Linked DNA regions of Cricetulus griseus. The protein of the gene in region 2 purifies or fractionates together with the protein of the main gene of each other region. This does not show direct contact. Links are inferred from orthologs where the notes say so. Each region holds a gene or a part of one and is shown on either strand. Other genes may lie near its edges.

Region 1 (3,819 bases), on a different chromosome or scaffold from region 2:
TTATCCTTTATAACATAGCATATTGGAGGCCATTCCATGAGTACATGAGACCCTCTCAAAAACAACCAAATAGGCCATGAAAAGGCCATGGTAGGTGATAGGAGGGCTGAAATGGTGCTTATATTTTTCATTCTTAAGCATTAAGTATTAAGAGTTATGTTATATTGGGAAATAAAGATAGGGAGGGAGGATTACTGTACGTGTTTTACAAACATAGTGTTAACCTTAAGTAAATTGTACCATACACATAACAAAGGTTCGATTTATTTGTTCAGAAGATTAATGTTCTGAAATTCTCTCTCTGTAACAAATTCTGAATTCTGCAACTTAATACATTGTTAAATTTAACATATGGAAATTTTTCATGGACAGTAGTGGTTCCTCTGCTTTTTGGGGGGTCAAGTTCTTGAGGTAGCTCTGGCTTTCATAGAACTATGAATTCAAGCTCACTCTGCATCTACTTTTGTATCAAAGAAGAGTGAACAGTTGTGATAGCCTATGTGACTTAGAAGACCTATATTTTTTAACATGATCTAGCTCTAAAGTTTTGTAATCCTGAGATGTGATCATAGGTACTCTACTATGCCCATGGAGTTTTAATTCATTAAGTGGAAATCTCTTCATGGATATTATACTTAAGGCTTTTAGTTTGTCTATATAGTTTTTTTTTATCTGGTTTCATGATGTGGTAATAAAAGATGAGTGGGTTGTAGGAATTGTATTTGGATAGCGAATGGAATGAAAAGAACTGTGATGTACTTTATATGGGTGTTTGTTTGGTACATAAAATGCCTACTTGTTTCTGATGGTTTTTTTATGTAGCTGATTTCTGTCTGTGGTAATTCTTATAGGGATTTTTGCACGTGAACATGGATCAAACAAGAAATTAGCAGCACAGTCATGTGCCCTCTCACTTGTCCGACAACTCTATCATCTTGGAGTGATTGAGGCTTACTCTGGGCTTACAAAGAAGAAAGAAGGCGAGAGAGTATGTATTTAGGCATAACTACCCTGAGTAACTTAATATTTGGCTACAGAAGTTGAATGAGTTGGGGACAAGGGCATTATAATGGAAATTAGGGGTCTTAAATGCCAAATACTATTTCTGAGCTAAAAGCTTAGTAAATCAGGAAATTAAAATGCTGCATTGATTTAATTAGCACTTTGATAAGGATCCAGTCAGTGAGTGAGTCATTAAAGAAATTCTCACTAAAAGGAATTGTTGATTGTGTCTATAATAACCCCGGTCTCAACTCTATATTATTTTCGTGAAATTAATTTTGAATTTTATTCATGGTTGTATTAATGATTTTCATTACTCCTTTTTGTAGGTGGAGCCGTACAAAGTTTTCCTGTCTCCAGATTTGGAGCATCAGCTGCAAAATGTGGTTCAAGAGCTAGATCTTGAAATTGTGCCCCCAGTAAGCATATATATAGCCTTTTGTAGTTAACCTTATTTTAAAATCTTCACTTAGACAAGTGTTTCCTTTTATTTACTTGTTTTGCTTTTTTATCAGCCTGTTGATCCTTCCATGCCAGTTATACTCAACATTGGGAAATTGGCTCATTTTGAACCATCTCAGAGGCAAAACGCAGTGGGAGTGGTACCTTGGTCACCTCCACAGTCCAACTGGAATCCTTGGACTAGTAGCAACATTGATGAGGGGCCCCTGGCTTATGTGAGTACCACGAGGTTTCTAAGATCAGTTTTTGGGATTTCCTCCTTCCTTGGGTCAGGATAAAAGAGATTTTGTTTGAATGTGTTCTTTTTGTAGGCTTCTACAGAACAAATCAGCATGGACCTAAAGAATGAATTAACATACCAGCTGGAACAGGATCATAATTTACAAAGTGTAAGTGGTGAAGATTTTCACATTCATTGTCTAGTGTTTCAGAACAGTGTAGTTAGGTTGAATGACAAATCTGAAATAATTAGTAATCATGTATCATAGTTAAAATCTGATAGTAGTGGCTGTTAATTCAGGACCTAAAAATGAGTTGTGCTACTATTTGAACGCACTGCAGCAAATTGAAAAATTATTAACATTTTGTGGCAAGTAATTACATTTAGAATGTTTATGGAGACCTAAGAATGAAATAGAATGAGGACCACAAGACAGATTCTCTAGAAATTTAGTTGAGAATCAATTCTATTAGAAATACAAATATTGGTAGTAAGCCAATTAGAAAGGAAAATTATTCAAAGGAAGTTTTACTAAGTTTTAACTGTGTTAACAGGTGTTACAAGAGAGAGAGATGCTTCCTGTGAAGAAATTTGAACCTGAAATCCTGGAAGCCATTAGCCAAAATTCGGTTGTGATAATCCGTGGGGCTACTGGATGTGGTAAAACCACCCAGGTTCCACAGTACATTTTGGATGACTTTATCCAGAATGGCCGAGCAGCAGAGTGTAATATTGTTGTGACTCAGGTAAATACCAAGCCAGTGTATGAGTTCTATTAATAGTTTGGGAGTTTTTGGGGGTTTGTTGTGGTGGTGGTCAAACAAGGTTTCAAGAATGTTAAGTTTCTAGCCCCACTGCCATCTTCCTTTGTACTGGGGATTTGATATTGAACCTTGGCATGGTAGGTACTTGTGTTAACTATCATGTTTCTGTTAGTAAGCTGTCAAAGAGAGCCATTGCAGTAATTTGAAATTTGAGCTGGGTGTGGTGTTAACAGTTTGAGGTGGGACTTGAATATGTAGTCAGAACATTAAAAAGGCTTGAGTATTTGGTGGTAGAGCACTTGCCTAACATGTAACTTAGGGTGGTTTTTGGTTTTTTTTTTTTTTTTTAACACATGGTTTCTCTTTGTAGTAACCTAGCTTTTATCATGCATATAACACATAGACACTTTTCAGTATAACTAATTCTGAAGTTTCATATTTTGTGTTTTGTTTTGTTTTTTCAGCCGAGAAGGATCAGTGCAGTTGCAGTGGCTGAGCGAGTTGCTTATGAGAGAGGTGAAGAGCCTGGAAAAAGCTGTGGTTACAGTGTCCGCTTTGAGTCTATACTTCCACGCCCCCATGCCAGTATAATGTTTTGTACTGTAGGTCAGTAATGCATTTTGATACCTCATTTGCAATTGTCACATTTTTATACTAAGACTATAAAAAGGTTACAGTATTGCACACTTTAATCCTAGTGCTATAGAGGCAGAAGGTGGCAAATATCTCTTTTTAAGGCTAACCATAGAATGAGTTCATGAAAGTCAGGACAATACAGAAAAAAGTCTCAAAATAGAATATGATTCAGGATATTTCAGACCTCTTCTACAATGATAGAATTGTGTTGCAGCAGGGTTGATTGCCTCCTTGTTAAAAGGTTTCTCTATGTGACTGTATGATCACCATGCTCTAAATAATTGATCTTAGAGGTATGTGCTGCCAGCCAACCCCAGCCAAAATTTGTTGTTTGTTGCTTCTTTGACTACCTAACAAAGAAACCTAACCTGTCTCATAATTGTTCTGACTTTCTTTTCAAGGTGTGCTCCTAAGAAAATTAGAAGCGGGGATTCGAGGGATCAGTCATGTAATTGTAGATGAAATTCATGAAAGAGATATTAATGTAAGTTACTTATGAATTAAGAGGATGATTTGTCTATGTCTAATTGAATAAATTGCTTTTCCTTGCTCTTTTCCTTTCATCTACTTCTGAATATTGTTAAGAGAACCTGTGAACCATCAGGTAATACTTTGTTTATGATGATCAGTAAGAATTTATGCAACTTAGTTTAGAGCTTAGTAGTGATTTATGACTTGAGTAGCTGGCTGGATATTAGGATTAGTTTTCCTTTGTATGTGATACTGTGCTTTTGG
Region 2 (3,819 bases):
GGACAGGAGCAGTGTCGGGACCAGAGACCTCTGCCTGCCTGCCTGCCTCCTGTACATCTGTTGGCAGGGAAGTCATCTTCCCCCATCCCACATCTAGCACCCCAGACATGCACTCTACTGAGACCAAGACTGAAGCCTAGAGATAAATAAGGCAAAGTGAAGAGCCAACGTCTTCTGGGAGGAGCAAGCAGAACCCCACCCTCATCCCCCCAAAAAGAGAGCACCAAAAGCAGATGTCTTAACTGTCTTTGGATGTGCATCTGGGGACCTGGAAAGGAGGAGCATAGTTCTTCTGAGACTGGCCCCTGTCACTGGGGTTACCTCTGCGAAACCCAACTGCTCTGCCTTCTCGCTCTCCCCGATCAAGACACGGAGGGCTGCATCGGCTGCATCTTGCTTGCCTTGTTTCTTGCTGTGTGCACAGACGGCTGGAAACCAGCGGCCCCCAACTTTTGCTTGGTAAACAAACCTTTGGGAAGAGAATGAGAATGAAGCCAAGCAGTGGCAGCCCCTGGTGGCTAGCTGCCTTTGCTTAGAACAAGGCCACTATTGCAAACCAGAGGACTGCTTGTCTCATTTGGAGGCACTCCTCGGATTTTGGTTATTCATGAATTATACGGTTTTTGTTTGTTTGTTTGCTATCCAGATGTCAGTTGCTCTATTTCTTAGTATTTTCCTTTAACCAGACCTATCAGAACTATAAACATATTTTAAAGGTAAATTTTATCTCATTATATAAATGGGAACAGTACTACTTCACATAAACTGGAAGTGACTATAAAATTCATATCATCTTTTAAATTCTGTCTAGACGCTGTAGCGTTACCTGCAAAGGCTCCGAGCTGCTCCTTGTTAAAAGGGAAGATGAGAGAGTACTGGAAAGGGTTTCTTTACGAGCTGGGAAGATGGCTCAGTTGGTAAAGTACTTGCCTTGCAAACACAAGAACCCAAGTTCTCCCCCCCCACCAGAAAAAATGCTTGGCATGGTGGTGCAGCATGCTTGTAACTCCAGCAACATAGGCAAAAAGACAGGTGGATCCTTTGGGCTTGCTGACTAGCTGGCCTAACCTGGTCTGCAAGCTCCAAGCCAAGTGAGGGGCCCTGTCTCCATATTTAAAAACAAAGAAACAAAAGTAGAAAAATAGTTGGTGACTGAGGAATGACATTACACCCCACCCCACAATCATGTACGCACACACAAAACAGGTTTCTTTTCAAGTAGAAATGAAGGATATCTGTCTCTCCACATACTCAGGTATTTAGCACTGTCTGACTCCCCCACTCTAAGAGGCCAACCAAGGGCTCTACCACTGAGCTGTGTTCCCAATACTGAGTTCTAAAGTATCCAATTTTGTTTCCTTGTATACCTCCTGACAACCCCAGAAAGGTGACTGCAACAAGGTCTGCCTTAGGCCAAGGAGCCAAACTTTCACAAGGAATTATTTGTCCATTTCCTGCAAGCTTGTAACTATGGTGGAGTGGGGGGAGGAAGGGAAAAAAAGGACCATGGGCTCTGAAGTAGGGAGGAGTCCCTACTGTAACTGGGGCAGGCTCCCACAAACTCAGAAGGAAGCCAGAGCACAGCAGTTTGGAAATCTACCAGCCTTCTGGAATCCTAGCTTTCAGTCAGATCCTAATGCAAACGTAGCTCTGGACAAGCCAATGGTGCACAAGAGAGAGGCACAGCCCAGTCTTCGCCATCCATACTGAGCTTCCCACTGTCCTTCAGATATGAAGCAGCTGAACGCCTCTGTTCCTTTCTTTGCTTGTGCTGACAGGTCTCTGCCAGCCAGTGGGCAAAATTCAGAATGAAGTGAGGGCAGCGAGAAAAGGTCTGGGTGAGCAGAGAAAACGCCAGGGCCTCTGCCTCTGGAGACCAGGAGGAGCTTGTGGCCATTGTCTTTGGAAAGGATAAGCCCTGTATACATACTTTTGTGTATGCATGACAGAATGTGATTAAGCTTATTAATTATGAAATCAGAATCCTTTAGAGCCATGCTTTCTAATATGGAAGCTACCAAATTTAAGTGAACTAAAGGATTAGGTGAATGATTAATTCAGCCCCTCAGTCATGCTGGCCACATCACAACTGCTTAGTAACTGCATTCAGACAGTGGTTGGGCTTTTTAGCCTAGTAAGTTGAGATTTTACTTTTATTTTCAATTGTGTAGGTGCAGCTATCTGTGCAGTGCCTGTGAAGGCCAGAAGAGGGTGCTGGATGCCCTGGGAGCTGGAGTCAGGTGGTTTTGAGCTGCCATGTGTGGGTGCTGGGAACTGAGCTGGGAACTAGGGTTCTCTGCAGGATCAGACTGCACTCTTAACTGCTGAGCTATCTCTCCAGCCCTCAGAGGGAGTGAAGAAAGTACACAGTGACTATAAACATTCCTTTTGAGGCGTCTGGTATCTAGAGTAGCACAGAAATGGGGTAGAGCCTGGAGAGAAGCAGGTCAAGACATGGTCTCTCAAAAACGGCTAAGAGTTTGCATACATACAGCTGAGGTCAATAGGCCAGGAGAAGAAGGGAGATCAGGAAACAATCAGTCCTTATGCACAGAAGGGGAGGGGACCTAGACTTGATGTAGAAGGAAGGATGCTTCCTTCAAACTTCCTGACAGGGGCAAGGTAGGCAGGTGGCCTGGTTTGGGAAATAAGCTATCAGTTTAGACTGCCAACAGTGATTTAGGTGGGAATCTGAGGCAAAGACCTGGAGGGGTACTCTCAAAGGAGAAAACAAAAATTAGCAGAAAAGTGCTAATAAAGGGACAAGAGACCACGGATGCTCTACTCAAACCTTCAATGACTTCCTACTGTTTTTATGGTAAAGTGACAACCTACAAGGCAGGCCCTGTGGGCAGGCCATGTGCCCTTCAGCAAACAGCTGGTAGAGGCTGGCCTTACCCTCACTCCCTGCTCATCCATCACATCTCTCGGTCCCTTGACTAGGTCTGTCCTCCCACCACAGGAACAGAGATGTACAGTTGTGTCCCTTGGTGTTCATGGGAGGTGCTTCTAGGATTCCCCAAGGACACTGGAATTGCAGAACACTTAAGTTCTTGATGTAAAATGGCATGGTATTTGCAAATAAGCCATGCACATTCTGCTGTGTGCCTACATCATGTCTAGCACACAACGGCGAAAGCACTATATCAGAAGTTGTTAGCCGGGCGGTGGTGGCACAGGCCTGTAATCCCAGAACTCTGTGATTTCGAGGCCAGTACTAGAAATCCTAGTGGCTTGAGGATGGGTAAGCAGTGGTGGTGTTTACTACGACAGGAAAGTCTTGTCTCAGAGCTCCGCTTAGGATATGTCTGATTAGAAGTTAAAGTACGTAACTGGATACAGGAATGTGGAGCTTTGAGAGGTCTGGGTTACAGAGACATGTTCAGCACTTTCCAGCATTTAGACATTAAAACCAACAAGTGAGTTAAGGTCACCAAGAAAGAGAGGGAAAAGTGGATGCAGCATAATACACACAAAGGAAGGACCACATGAGATGGAAATAAAATAGCTACTAAATTGGCATCTGCCTCCCAGGACAAGCCACACGGCAAGTCCAACACTGTTACAGTCCTAAGTCTGCTGCATCTCATGTCTTTAATTCCAGTTCCAAGGTTCTTATGTTCCAAGTGAATTACTGAATTCCCAGAATATTACAGAAGGTGTCACTAAAAGCTCCCACTATCATGTGACCTAGCTTAAAGAGAAGGAGGCTCGCCAGAGGGAGGGGCAGGAGCCCATGTCCTCTTTCCCCCTCTTTCCCAGCAGCTTCCACACTGGACAAAGGCACCCTGAAGTGGGGGTAGTCAGGAGCTCTTCTGG

Evidence for each region.
Region 1: the proteins of Adar (region 2) and Dhx9 purify together in Homo sapiens (affinity purification with western blotting; 3 studies listed by BioGRID and IntAct, with this or other methods). This does not show direct contact. The link is inferred for Cricetulus griseus from reciprocal best matches to the Homo sapiens genes ADAR and DHX9.

What each region holds. Positions count from the first base shown.
Region 1 is NC_048598.1:38,197,487-38,201,305, forward strand, and holds part of Dhx9 (ATP-dependent RNA helicase A), read left to right. Parts: intron 1-851; coding exon 852-988; intron 989-1,331; coding exon 1,332-1,421; intron 1,422-1,517; coding exon 1,518-1,679; intron 1,680-1,775; coding exon 1,776-1,853; intron 1,854-2,238; coding exon 2,239-2,430; intron 2,431-2,912; coding exon 2,913-3,054; intron 3,055-3,485; coding exon 3,486-3,568; intron 3,569-3,819. UniProt on the Homo sapiens protein: Multifunctional ATP-dependent nucleic acid helicase that unwinds DNA and RNA in a 3' to 5' direction and that plays important roles in many processes, such as DNA replication, transcriptional activation, post-transcriptional RNA regulation, mRNA translation and RNA-mediated gene silencing.
Region 2 is NW_023276806.1:64,812,220-64,816,038, forward strand, and holds part of Adar (double-stranded RNA-specific adenosine deaminase), read right to left. Parts: intron 470-3,819; coding exon 244-469; intron 1-243. UniProt on the Homo sapiens protein: Catalyzes the hydrolytic deamination of adenosine to inosine in double-stranded RNA (dsRNA) referred to as A-to-I RNA editing.